Linked DNA regions of Arabidopsis thaliana. The protein of the gene in region 1 purifies or fractionates together with the protein of each later gene. This does not show direct contact. Each region holds a gene or a part of one and is shown in the gene's direction. Other genes may lie near its edges.

Evidence for each region. Proteins that work in one complex are often made in the same cells at the same time.
Region 2: the proteins of EIF2 BETA (region 1) and AT2G18720 fractionate together in Arabidopsis thaliana (co-fractionation; one large-scale study listed by BioGRID). This does not show direct contact.
Region 3: the proteins of EIF2 BETA (region 1) and AT4G18330 fractionate together in Arabidopsis thaliana (co-fractionation; one large-scale study listed by BioGRID). This does not show direct contact.

What each region holds. Positions count from the first base shown.
Region 1 is NC_003076.8:7,094,139-7,098,955, reverse strand, and holds EIF2 BETA (eukaryotic translation initiation factor 2 beta subunit), read left to right. Parts: upstream 1-1,810; 5' UTR 1,811-1,944; exon of another isoform or gene 1,945-2,085; intron 2,086-2,286; 5' UTR 2,287-2,294; coding exon 2,295-2,333; intron 2,334-2,460; coding exon 2,461-2,575; intron 2,576-2,666; coding exon 2,667-2,722; intron 2,723-2,824; coding exon 2,825-2,879; intron 2,880-2,973; coding exon 2,974-3,068; intron 3,069-3,158; coding exon 3,159-3,304; intron 3,305-3,421; coding exon 3,422-3,564; intron 3,565-3,655; coding exon 3,656-3,741; intron 3,742-3,890; coding exon 3,891-3,962; 3' UTR 3,963-4,307; downstream 4,308-4,817. Other genes in the region: TSL (Protein kinase superfamily protein), read right to left, coding at 1-5, 145-234, 492-743; AIP2 (RING/U-box superfamily protein), read left to right, coding at 4,646-4,813. UniProt on the Arabidopsis thaliana protein: Component of the eIF2 complex that functions in the early steps of protein synthesis by forming a ternary complex with GTP and initiator tRNA.
Region 2 is NC_003071.7:8,114,298-8,118,869, reverse strand, and holds AT2G18720 (Translation elongation factor EF1A/initiation factor IF2gamma family protein), read left to right. Parts: upstream 1-1,871; 5' UTR 1,872-1,892; intron 1,893-2,058; exon of another isoform or gene 2,059-2,100; 5' UTR 2,101-2,110; coding exon 2,111-2,234; intron 2,235-2,332; coding exon 2,333-2,501; intron 2,502-2,531; exon of another isoform or gene 2,532-2,557; coding exon of another isoform or gene 2,558-2,577; coding exon 2,578-2,680; intron 2,681-2,763; coding exon 2,764-2,991; intron 2,992-3,076; coding exon 3,077-3,295; intron 3,296-3,380; coding exon 3,381-3,950; 3' UTR 3,951-4,015; downstream 4,016-4,572. Other genes in the region: AT2G18721 (uncharacterized protein), read right to left, coding at 1,764-1,871; SCY1 (SECY homolog 1), read left to right, coding at 4,418-4,572.
Region 3 is NC_003075.7:10,124,900-10,129,291, forward strand, and holds AT4G18330 (Translation elongation factor EF1A/initiation factor IF2gamma family protein), read left to right. Parts: upstream 1-1,679; 5' UTR 1,680-1,764; intron 1,765-1,836; 5' UTR 1,837-1,847; coding exon 1,848-1,974; intron 1,975-2,063; coding exon 2,064-2,238; intron 2,239-2,315; coding exon 2,316-2,418; intron 2,419-2,501; coding exon 2,502-2,729; intron 2,730-2,822; coding exon 2,823-3,041; intron 3,042-3,124; coding exon 3,125-3,688; 3' UTR 3,689-3,835; downstream 3,836-4,392. Other genes in the region: AT4G18320 (uncharacterized protein), read left to right, coding at 117-1,079; AT4G18335 (uncharacterized protein), read left to right, coding at 3,970-4,392.

The sequences.
Region 1 (4,817 bases):
TGTGGCTTCAATTCAACAATATTCTTCATTATAAGTTGATGAGAAATACTAGGAGACAAAACTTACATCATACACCAATATTTGATATAAAAAACATCAACCCGATAAGAGACTAAAAGAAAACTCTTTATGAAAAATCAATACCTCAACATGATCAACAACACTGAAGTTGTTAGATTCTTGAACTTTCTGGCGCTTTTTTGTATTTGCTCGGATTAGGAAATCTCCAGTATTCTGAGACAGTAACAAGGAGAATGAGATCTAGCTAAAAAAGAGACTGTATTTCTTGTTCAAGAAAGAAATATAGATGCATCTGCAATGCCAGGATATGTAGCCAGCATTGCATACAACTTTGATCAATCTTTAGGCACAAACTGATCAATACAAGGAGGATAGGGACATCAACAATTCAATTAGCAACGACCCTTAGACTCACAAGAATCATAGCATAGACATAAACAAAAGAATTTGAAACAAACATCGGAAGCTACCTCGTCGTCTGAATCACTGATAGAGGTTTCGGACAATCCCGGCGGTGTGGAAGTGACGACTTTGACAGCGGCAGAAGCAGATGACCAGAGAGAGACCTGCTGCTGCTGCTGTTGTTGTTGTTGTGGTGGCTTGGCCGAGGAAGGGGTCTTACCAGTCAAGCGGGCCTCAAGCTTGGCGATTTTGTCGGGTAAAGAGTGATCCGACTGATTAGAAGAATTCGAGGAGAAATGCAAAACCATGTCATCCGACATTGCCAAACACTTGCGGACACTTCACTCCCTAATTTCTACACAGATCAGAGTAAATTCGAGAAATTAGGGTTTTTTAACGGAGAATTACGGAATTGGAAGCTAGAATCTGGATGTCGAAGAGAAACCCATCAACAAATTTTCATGCTTTTATGCAAATCCACGTGGAGGAAAGTGAATAAAACGTACAGAGAAAGATAGACAGAGAAAGAGAAGGAGGAATAAGGTTTTTGTTTCGGTGAAAAAGAAAAATCGAGGAACCCTAAGGAATTAGGAGGGAAAGAGAGGTCAACACAAAGTTCTCTTTAGCACTCACTCTGATACATTTTTTGGTTTATCAGATTTTAGCCTAATTATATAATCTGAGGTTTGAGACAAGTTTGAGTTATGGGTGTGTTAATTTGGGAAATTTCCATTTTTTCTTTCTTTTTTTTTCTCCATTTGGTATCATGGATTAGGGTTGACTATAAGTAGGGTTTTCTTTGATCTAAGGCCAGACTCGTGGTTTAAACGCTAAAATCCGATTATGACTATATGAATTTGCGGAAGTAGGCGGTTGCCGTCTCAAGCGTTATTAAACAATTTGAACGATTAATTTAGCGGTTGAAAATTAATGCATTTGCGGAAATTTTGTTACTGAATATCTAACAAACTAAAATACTTAATATATTAAATAATAAAATAATATAATTTAGTAATTTATAGTAAAATAAGATATGCTAGACTATTAATTTTGACACTAAATATATTCTGATTTCTTTCTTTACTAGTTTCATTTATATTTAATAACATTTTTATATAATTTACTATTCACAGAATTTAATAAGAAATAAATCTTAATTTGAAAAAAAAAAAATTGATTTGATAAAATTTCAATTGATTAATTAATTAAGACAAATAAAATAATAAATGAGAATCTCAGTGTCAATTAATAGATAAAATTAAAATGTAACATGCGTTAAGAAAAAGAAAAAAGTAAAAATGTAATATTAAGGTTTAGGCAAAATGAAATATTTACAGAGACCTTTTACTATTGAATTAAAAAAAAAAGTTACAATTCGAGATGGACTATTTTTTTGGAGGAGCAAGGGTTAACTCTTATCTCAGATTAAAACAACCCCTGCGCCGCTTACTCTCTCTCAGATTCCTCCCGAAGCAACCTCGTTTACTCTCTACGCCAATTTCAGCGCTTAGACATCCCTTTGTGAGTTTTCTTCGATTCCTTTTCGAATTCTTCTGGTCGATCTCAGAGTAAATCGTGTTTTTGGAAGAATTGAGTATAAACAGATTGGTAAACCTAGCTGTTCCGTTTCTGATTTGAAGCCTTGTCGTACATTTTATTTGGGTATTTTTTTTATTGGGAATCGAAAAGTTGTTCTGAATCTCGTTATGGTTTTGTTGCGTTCCGAATTACCTCTCTGATTTAGAAACCCTAATTTCGGACTTGCCTATGCTCATCGTTGTTACAGATTATGTTGATTCTAATATGTATATGTTTGGTTTCTGAGGTCTTATTATCATTGTGTGTTTTCGTTTTGTATCTCAGTTGCAATCATGGCTGATGAAATCAATGAGATAAGGGAAGAGCAAGAAGTAAGTTTGTTTTTTTTCTCTGTTTCTTAATGATAGGGCTCAAGTTAGCCATATAGATTTTTTTTTTTGTTTTGTTTGATGAACTCATGATTGAATGGTTTTTATGTTTTGGTTCATCCTTTTACAGCAGCTCGCACCCTTTGATCCTTCCAAGAAGAAAAAGAAGAAGAAGGTTGTGATTCAGGAACCTGTCGAGGACTTAGCAGAGTCTTCACAGACTGAGAAATCTGATTCATTGCCTGGTATGTATGATGAAGAGTCAATGTGATGTGAAACATTTTTTTTGTTTCAATGGTCTTTTGTGTTACTTTGTCTAATTCCTTGTTTTTGCAGTTAATGATGGTCTTGAGAGTTCATTTACTGGAATGAAGAAAAAGAAGAAGAAGCCAGTGAGTATTGTTTTACGTTTTGTGCCTAGTATTTTTTTTATGTCATTAAACTTGTGTGTTTGATGATTCTGTGACTCACATTTGTTCTTGTTTGATATTTAGACTGAATCAAGCTTATTGAACAACGAAAGTGTTGATGCTGGGGAAGATTTGGATGGTACTTTTAATATCCTTTTTTTTTGTTTGCTAATATACCTTTTCTCTTGGCGGGGTTTTTATCCTGTTTGAATCTTACTGAGAATATATTGCAGAGATTGCTAATGACGAGCAAGAGGGGGAAGAAGGAATAGTTCTACAGCAACGTTACCCCTGGGAGGGAAGTGAGAGGGATTACATATATGACGAGGTGACTATATTTTCGATGATTTCTTTTGTTTTAATCCTTCATAAATATCTTGCTCCCTTGTTTTTTTGCTGACGGGAGTTATATATGCAGCTTCTTGGTAGAGTCTTTAACATTCTCCGTGAAAATAATCCGGAGCTTGCTGGAGATAGGCGTCGTACAGTTATGAGGCCTCCTCAAGTTCTTCGTGAGGGGACAAAGAAGACTGTCTTTGTCAACTTCATGGACCTTTGCAAGACGTATGAGCTAACTCTTTATCTTCCTCTTCAAACTTTTTCTGTGTAACCATAAGTAATATTACCATTTAATTTTGATGACTTTTCGATGACATGTCTTATCTGCATATAAAAAATCAGGATGCATCGTCAACCAGATCATGTTATGCAATACTTGCTTGCTGAGTTGGGTACTAGTGGTTCGCTTGATGGGCAGCAAAGGTTGGTTGTTAAGGGAAGGTTTGCACCTAAGAATTTTGAAGGAATTTTGCGGCGATATATCAGTAAGTAACTTTCTTCTTAGTCTCAAAATTTAAGTTGCCATAAAAGTATATCAGTTTGGAGTTGTTAACCTCTTGTTTTATTATTTCTCAGCTGACTACGTCATTTGCCTTGGTTGCAAGAGCCCAGACACCATTCTCTCCAAGGAGAACCGTCTCTTCTTTCTGAGATGTGAAAAGGTATAAGTTAATCTAATTAGTCCTGATCTTGATATGCATTCCTTTGTTTCTGTTTTACAGTTTTACTTTCTGCGCAACAAAGTAATAAAGTATTTTGTGTGTTTGAATTTGCTAATGTGATTAACGAGTGGGCTACATGGTTTTTGCAGTGTGGATCTCAACGATCTGTGGCTCCGATCAAAACAGGGTTTGTTGCTCGTGTTAGTCGCAGGAAGACTTGAGAAATTAGAAGGTGAAGTGACCTTGGTATGGAGTTTGGAGCTATTCTACTGCTTCTGTATGAGTTTATGAGTTGAAGAAATACTTGTCTTGTTTTTTTTATTTTGTTTTGGAATATGATTATGACTTGACTTTTAAAATGGGATAGGATCAAAACCTTTTACTCTGTCAGGTTCATGTGGTCACCTTGAAGGTTGATTTAGTAAATCCATGGACTTCTTTTTTGTGTTAAGATTATTCTTAGTTCAAAATTAATAGACTAATGATATTAACGTCCACAGGCATTGCGTTCAACATCTCAAATTAAAGCGTGGAAGGCTCAGAAAGTCCAATATACACTATGTTTATCTACAGTTACAATCATACTACAAAAAACAAATAATGTATACGGTTTGGTCTAATATAGCCGCATACGATTTAGTATTTACCAACAAAAAATTGGTCTCAAACCAAACCGAACAATTGGTAATTAACAATTGTTCTTTTGGTCTTGAACCGAACCAAACCGAACTGAACTATATTAACCGACCGACTTCGTCCTTTCCTCCTGATCAAGAAAACTCGTCTCCTACAAAAATCCCAGAAGACAAGAGATTGGTTCTTCTTTTGCATCATTCTTACAAAATCCCCAAAATCATTCGAAACCCCTGAGTATTCTCCTTAACTCTAAGAAATAAATTTCTGAATGGATGCATCGTCTTCACCGTCTCCTTCCGAGGAAAGCTTGAAGCTTGAGCTTGATGATCTTCAGAAACAGCTGAACAAAAAGCTGAGATTCGAAGCATCCGTTTGTTCTATTCATAATCTTCTCCGTGATCACTACTCTTCTTCCTCTCCTTCTCTCCGCAAACAGGTTG
Region 2 (4,572 bases), on another chromosome or scaffold:
AAATGAAAAATAATAAAGGATTGTTTTTTTTTAATCTTTCTTCTTCTTCTTTGCTGAGAGATTTCAAATCAACCAATATAAAATCTTCTTTTGACAGTTTGTATTTTCTTGTCTGTTTTGTCTTTTTTATAAATGATTTAGTTTCGAAGACAGCGCACAAAACGTGTGAATTAATTTGCTTATATTGAAAAAAAAAGAATTTACACGGTTGGATTTCAATGTGACGTCATAAAAATGCCACTCTTTAGATCTTTGATTCTTTTTCTTTTTTTATTGTTTGACATTTATGAAAGCGACTGATAAATGTTTATTTTGTAAAAGTTCTAATTTAGAATAATTTTGATTATTAATAATATTAAACTACTAAGATTTGTATAGTTTAATACCATTATCTTCTGTAACTAAGATTTGTAGATCTTTTGTTTCTGTAAGATCAAATTTACAATTTAAAGTGTACAAAATCTTACAATACTAATGATGGCATAAAGAGATTAACAATGAGATTTTTTAACGTTATTGTTATATCAAGAAAACCAGAGAAAATTAATTAGTAATTGATTGATACATTGTAAGAATAGGATCTAATGATATTTTAATATTCAAAAAGGTTCCATTATAGAGGTTACATCTGGTGAATATGATTGAATACAATTTGATATAGAGAATTAGAGATACTTGCATTATTATTTGCTTCCTATTATTATTTGACTGCATTATTGGTTTCTTTTTCTATGTAAAAAATATTTTCAACTCTCCAACAAAGAAACAAAATTCTCTGACATTTTGCTTAGAAAGAGTGGCGTTTTCGTCATTAAACAAAGGAATAGTTTTGGTGGTAACGTAAATTGTAAAAAAACAGCGAAGGAGACAATAGAAAATGAGAGCAGACATTGAAGTTAGTGGATTTTCCACAGAATGGGGCCTACAATGTTATTGCCCACTCAGAGAAATAGGGTCACTGAAAGTGATAGCTACTTCCCATTGCTGGGATCGTTGTGTACTTTTTCTAACCTAAATTTCCCTCAATGCCTTTTTCTTAACTTATAGAATTGGTCGAAACTTGAAAGTATATACAAATGCCACAGAAAAAAACATCATTTAATACCTTCTTAATTGCACGATATGATATCAGATGTTTTGTAACCAAGAATTGGTCCATGTAAACAATTTATTATGTGGCAGAGGAAGACTCAAATTCAGGTGGCTGATAAAAAGTGGGGTTTAAGATATTTCTTGAACTGGAAGACAATGAGCGTGTGTTCTCATTAGTATTACAAATCATATTTACATTATTATAAAGCGGAACATATTTACATTATACTCCAAATGATGTAACTATAAAATTTGATCTAACAATATATATCGTTAAGAAAAATAACCTAAATTTATCACAGCTTATTCATTTACACTCCTATAGAATCATAGATTTCCTACTCTTTTTTTTTTGTCATCATATAAACATATACTACTTTTTGTTCAAGGATCAATGTTTCTTAGTTTGGTGAAAGATAGAAGTAAACTGGAGTGGGCCAATGGTTAGGCGTGTAAGCCCAAACTTTGGAACGATTTTAGCCCATCTCAAAAGGAGCGTGCTATATTTTGTAAATGAAATTGCAAAATTACCTAACACAAATTTTCCTATAAAAAAACATTTCGGGTAAGAAACCGACAATTATAAAATAAAAATTGTAAGACATGTTTTATTGACACATGGAAAAATGAAGTTGGCGAAAAAGACAAACAGTAAACGTTAAGATAAAACCCTACCTATAAATATACCTTACACGCCACCTGACTTTATCAAAACCAAAAACACAAACCTTCAACGGCACGCTTTCTCCTCTGAAATCTCTGCGAGCAAACTTCTTCATCTACCTCTTACCGTACTTCAGGTTTGTGTAAATCATTTTTATAAGAACTTCAGTGAAATAGATTAGCAACCCTAATTGAATTTAATCGAATCGTAACTATTGTGAACGGAACCCATCCATCTTGCATAAAAACCCTAGTTTCTGAACAGCCTTTCGAAACTTCTAGTGTTATTGTATTGGCTCTGATCAACGTTGTTCTAAAGTTGTGAACTTTGATTGATTGCAACAGAGTGTTTAAGATGAAATCTGTCGTAATGTCGAAGAACAAGGGCTTAGCTGAACAAGATCTAAGTAAACTTGATGTAGCTCAGCTGCATCCTCTCTCTCCTGAGGTCATCTCTCGTCAAGCCACCATTAACATAGGTATACACAAGTTTTTGTTTCATTGAGTTTTGATGCTGAAGAAACTGATCAGCCGTGCATTGAAAGCTAAAGATATGACTATGCTCTCTATATCTCAGGAACCATTGGCCATGTCGCTCACGGGAAATCGACAATCGTGAAAGCCGTTTCCGGTGTGCACACTGTCAAATTCAAGAGTGAATTGGAGCGTAACATTACCATTAAACTTGGTTACGCAAACGCAAAGATTTACAAATGTGAAAAATGCCCTAGACCAGTAGCCTACAAGTGAATTCTTGCTCTTCTTTTGCTACAATAAGGTTACGTAGTGTACGTAGCAACTTATGATATGTGTTAATTATAGGTCTTTCGGGAGTGGCAAAGAAGACAACCCAAGTTGTGATGTCTCTGGACATGAGAAGTACAAGATGAAACTACTAAGACATGTCTCATTTGTTGATTGCCCGGTATAAAATGAGTTTTAACACTATTTCTAAATCTTTTGTAACCATTTTCTATATGTTAATGAGGTGTTTTGTGTGTTGATTAGGGACACGATATCCTAATGGCGACAATGCTGAATGGAGCAGCGATTATGGATGGTGCTTTACTAATCATTGCTGCGAATGAGACATGTCCACAACCACAAACAGCTGAACATCTTGCTTCTGTTGATATGATGCATCTTAAAGATATCATAATCATTCAGAACAAGATTGATCTCATCCAAGAAAACGAGGCTATTAAACAGCACGAGGACATCCAGAGATTTATAACGGTTTGATTCAATTTTCCCATTCTGTTTTTTTTTTGCATTTTTCACTTCTTGATTAGTTGGTTAAGTTTTAAACTTGTTATTACAGAACACGAATGCGGAAGGTGCTCCTATAGTTCCTGTCTCAGCGCAACTGAAATACAACATCGATGTTTTGTGTGAGTACATTGTCAAGAAGATTCCACTCCCTGTGAGGGATTTTGTGTCACCTCCAAGAATGATTGTGATTCGTTCTTTTGATGTCAATAAACCTGGCTCTGATTATGATGGTATGAAAGGTGGAGTTGCAGGTGGGAGTATCCTTCAGGTAAAACATACTCAATACCCCGAAAAACTAGGATAAATCGCGGTTGAATCAATGTAACTTATGTCTCTCTTTGCTTTGTTTGCAGGGTGTTTTGAAGGTGGGGCATATAATAGAGATAAGACCTGGAATCACTAGAAAAGATGAGAATGGAGACACTAAATGCACTCCCATTTACACGCGTATAACTTCATTGTACGCGGAACAGAACGAGCTTCAGTTTGCTGTCCCGGGAGGTTTGATTGGAATTGGGACAAGCATGGATCCTACGCTTACGCGTGGTGATAGGTTAGTTGGTCAAGTCCTTGGTGAAATAGGTACTCTCCCTGATGTCTATGTTGAACTTGAAGTGAGTTTCCAGCTTCTGACACGTCTCATTGGAGTGAAGACAAAGGAAACAGAGAGGCAAATGAGAGTGTCAAAGCTAGTCAAGGGAGAGATACTGATGTTGAATATCGGATCGATGTCTACGGGAGCTATGGTTATTGGAGTAAAGAAAGATATGGTGAAAGTTAATCTGACACTCCCTGTGTGCACCAGCATTGGAGAGAAAGTGGCTATAAGTCGCCGTGTGGATAGGCATTGGCGTTTGATCGGTCGCGGTCAGATTGAGGCTGGAACCACCATTTTTATCCCTTCTCCTCCTTCTTTGGCATGATTATATTTGATGCATTCACATATACCAAACTTGTAGTCTCATTATATCTTCAGAGTATTCCTAATCTGTCACCAAAGGAGATAACTAAACTTCTATGTGCTTATGCTTTTTGTGTGAAGTCTAACTAGAGTTTGATCAATTGCATCATCTTGATTTGTTATTAAAAGTTTTATAGTCTATGGATGTTACAGCTTAATTAACTAATTATCCTACATAGTTCATTTGAGAGAAAGATATAATTTGTGATTGTTGAAACTTGAAACTTGAAGTCTTGAAGAAACAGAAAGAAAGACTTGAAGTCATGGTCTCATTCCTAACGCCCAAAACAACAAAGATTAATAATGTGCAAAAGATGTATTGGGCCTAAAAGGCCTGGCCCATTAGCTGGATTCCGTAAGAAAAAAAAAAAAAGTGAAAAGGAAAAGAAGAAATCGTCGTTGTTGTGGAGAAGGAGAAGAAGGATAAGGATGATAACGGTAAGCGAAGTTTCCTCTTACTCTTCTTCTTCTTCAAACTTCGCGTCTCTGTCTCGTCTCAATCACAAATCATCTTCGAGATTGCGAAGCTCTTCTCTTTACAAAGGAAGCTTCTTCTCTGTTTCGACAAAGACCAGGAGGAACAC
Region 3 (4,392 bases), on another chromosome or scaffold:
TTCATTTCTCTCAAAATTATTTTTCTTGGTTTCATCTCATTTTTTGGAGGGATTTTTGAGAACATCTTTAAAAAAAAAATAATCTTCCAGTTCTTATTTGTTAATTCTTATAGTTTATGCTCTCATCTCACTTCTCTCAAATTTGTTTCTCTCGCAGGGATTCATGGGGAAGTTTGCCTCAAGATCTCCTCAGAAGTTCTACAAATTTGCTTAACCCTAACTTTACCGAAGGTGGGGCACTAAGAGGTGTCAACACTCATTGGAGGAACACATTTCTTTCTTTCCGTGAAGGAGGTTTCGTAGAGGAAAGGCCGTGGTTGTTGTACCGTGAAAGGGGATCCCGAGTTGCCCATTTCTATGACCCTGTGAGAGAGGAGCTACATCATGGGAAAGACCCATATCTTGAAGGGGCCAAATTCTTAGGATCAACATTGGGTTGGGTTGTTATGTCCAACTCCAGTGCCATACACCGACGTCAAGACCACCAAGCTTTCTTATACAACCCGTTCACTTCACAACGGTACCAACTACCCCTTCTCACCACTGATAACCCATGTGTGATCCGTTACGGTGTGCTCACCGGAGATCCCCGTCAAGACAACACTTATGCTTGTCTCCTAGCCGATAGCTTTCACGAAAATAATCATATGGTGATAGCGCATATGCATGCTCCTAGTCGACAAATATATTATGTAGCCAAGAGTAACGGAGACTGGGATCAGAACTGGTCAGTGACTCGTATCCCTACCTTCAACCATCCAATTTGTGGTTCGACTATAGATTCCCTCTCCCCATCTGTGGACAAAATATCAATTATTTTATGGGGCCATACTCTTGACTTCACCTTCCGAACCCAAAATTGGAATGTCTCAAATACTCAAGAGAATGATACCATCGAATGGAATCCTTTCCACGGCCAATCTTTTGATCAGATCAAACATCGACTTCAGATATTTCCACAAACTCTAGACATTATCGGCACTAAAACTGATCGCGAGAGAGTGAAAAACCGCACTTGGGGTGCTAACAACCAAATCGTTTCTTACACTGACGGAGTTTGGGTTGAGGTTCGCGCTTAGCCTAATGTTCTACCACTTGACTCTTTAAGTTATTTCTCTGTGATTGTTTTCGTTATCTATCTTTTATTTGTGTGGTTTAAGATTTTTAGTATTAATTTCTATTTATTGTGTTGCAAACTCTACTCATTGTGGTTTCGTTAGAAACTCTACTTTGGTTTGTTTATAAAAATGCTGATCTTTTATTGTTTATTTTTACGTTAAACTTAATAGACAAACAAAGAACTCTTAATTCGGTGTACATCTCTTCGTTAATATATGTAAAACATATTTTTTTTAAAAAAATTGTTTAGCAAAGAGTAAAATGAAAAATTCTACAAAAGATGTTCTCTTATTTGGCTCCTCTACAAAAAAAACTCAACTCCGATTACAAATTCGAGTTTAAATTTACAGGTTTTCAATATTGGGCCGTATTGGGTGCTAATGGTTTTACTAATAATAAGAATGGGCCTAGTTAATCATAAGGCAATGAAAAAAAGGTTTACAAAACCCTACATTTTTTACCTTCCACGTGTAAACTTCTTCCCCAATCTTACAAATCTTTAACTGTCATCGAGCGAGCTCAACATTTTTCGGACAACAAAGTGTAAGAGACTGATTAAACAAAATCGAGACTTTATAGTACTCAGGTTTGTCGGAATCGACTGAGTATCGAAATTATTGTGGTGTTTTGTGAACAGAAACCAAGGTATGCATGAAATCGTTTTGTATATAAACCCTAATATCGATTTCAGAATTTTCATTGATCTCGTTGTTTTAGCAGGATTAAAGATGGTTCAATCTGTGTTAATTTCGCGTAACAAGGGTTTGGCGGAGCAAGATCTAACTAAGCTTGATGTAACAAAGTTACATCCTCTGTTTCCTGAAGTCATTTCTCGCCAAGCAACCATAAATATCGGTAAATTACACTCTGCTTTTGCCAGCTCCTCTAGGTCTATAGTATAACTTGATGTCAAAGAAACCAATACTGTGCTAAATATATCTCAGGAACCATTGGTCATGTCGCTCACGGTAAATCGACTATAGTGAAAGCTATCTCTGGTGTTCAGACTGTGCGTTTTAAGAATGAATTAGAGCGTAACATTACCATTAAGCTTGGTTATGCAAATGCAAAGATTTACAAGTGTGAGGATGACAAGTGCCCTAGACCAATGTGCTACAAGTGAGTCATAATCTTCTTTTTGATATAATAAGGCTAAGTGTTATTATGTGTAGCAGCAGCTAATCTGTTAATTTTAGGTCATATGGGAGTGGAAAAGAAGACAACCCAACTTGTGATGTCCCCGGATTTGAGAATTGCAAGATGACACTACGGAGACATGTCTCATGTGTCGATTGTCCGGTATTAATGAGTTTAATTTACACTTTGTCTCTCAAAACTAGAACCATTGGCTATATGTAACTGAGTTGTTTTTTATTCATCAGGGACATGATATTCTTATGGCGACAATGCTCAATGGAGCAGCAATCGTGGATGGTGCTTTACTTCTAATTGCTGCTAACGAGAGTTGTCCACAACCACAAACCGCTGAACATCTTGCTTCTGTTGATATGATGCGCCTTAAGCATATCATAATCCTTCAGAACAAGATTGATCTCATTAATGAGAAAGCCGCCACTGAACAGCACGAGGCTATTCAGAAATTTATAACGGTTTGATCAATTTTCTTATCTCTCTGTTGTTAAATCTTTCATGACTTCATCAGTTTGGTTCTCATATTTTCTGTCACATATATAATGTTGCAGAACACGAATGCTGAGGATGCACCTATAGTTCCTGTCTCAGCACAACTGAAATACAACATTGATGTTGTGAGTGAATACATTGTCAAGAAGATTCCAATCCCTGTGAGAGACTTTGTGTCACCACCAAAGATGATTGTGATTCGTTCTTTCGATGTCAATAAACCTGGCTCGGCGGGTCATGAAATGAAAGGTGGTGTTGCTGGTGGAAGTATCCTCCAGGTATGTTTTTATCTCTCTGTTTCTCCTCTGTTCTTACCTGACTGTGAAACAATTTAGTATTAATATGTGTCTCTCTTTGTTTGGGTGTTTTGAAAGTGAACCAACTGATTGAAATTAGACCTGGTATCACTGGCAAAGATGAGCATGGAAACTCAAAATGCACTCCAATTTACTCGCGTATAACTTCACTATACGCGGAACAGAACGAGCTTCAGTTTGCTGTACCGGGAGGTCTAATCGGAGTTGGAACAACCATGGACCCTACGCTTACGCGTGCTGATAGGTTGGTTGGTCAAGTCCTTGGTGAAATGGGTACTCTCCCTGACGTCTTTGTTGAGCTTGAAGTAAGTTACCAGCTTCTGACTCGTCTCATTGGAGTGAGGACAAAGGAAAAAGAGAAGCAAATGAAAGTGTCAAAGCTAACCAAAGAAGAGATATTGATGGTGAACATCGGGTCTATGTCTACGGGAGCTAAGGTTATTGGAGTCAAGAAAGATATGGTGAAACTCCAACTGACGTCTCCGGTGTGTACCACCATAGGAGAGAAGGTTGCTTTAAGCCGACGTGTCGATAGGCATTGGCGTCTAATTGGTAAGGGTCAGATTATGGCTGGAACCACCATCGATGTTCCTCCTCCTCCTTTCTAATGAAGTAGTGATGAGTTTTTTATATTGTTTGCATTCAAAAATAATTAACATGTGCCTTTGTATGTTTAATCACTTTCTTTCGACTACAATATAAAACTATATTCATATTTAACACAACATTGACGAAAATTTAAAAAACAAATTCATAATTTCATTAATGATATTACTTATCACTAATTAGGAATTATATAATTCTAATTCCCTCCTCGTTCTGAGCTTTTGTTTCATCTTTACGCTCTCTCTTACTCTCAGCCAAAACCCTATACTCTCTTTCAATCCCAATGGAAGATTTGGTTTTGATGAAACAGAGTCTTCTAAAAAGCTTCATCGTCTCTCTTATTCTCACTCTCGTCTTCCTCATCTCACCATCATCATCATCTTCGAATCAAGAAACAAGAGTATCATCAACACAAAAAACGGAAGCTTATCTCAACGGTTACGAATCACCGCACCAACTCGTCTACATCAAGAAAACGACACCGTTTATCTTGAACCAGCGGTTGCAACGAGACAACCACCGTCGTCGTCGTTACAATCACCAATACTACTACTACTATCGACATACTCTTCGTCATCGCCGTGGTCTTCATCATCGTGCTGGCTACTTCAAGATGATGGCCAAGAAGAATAACGGTTTAAACCGTCCGGTTCGACAGGATACTTTCTCGGTTATGCTTCCCAAAGGATTCGTACCTCCTTCCGGT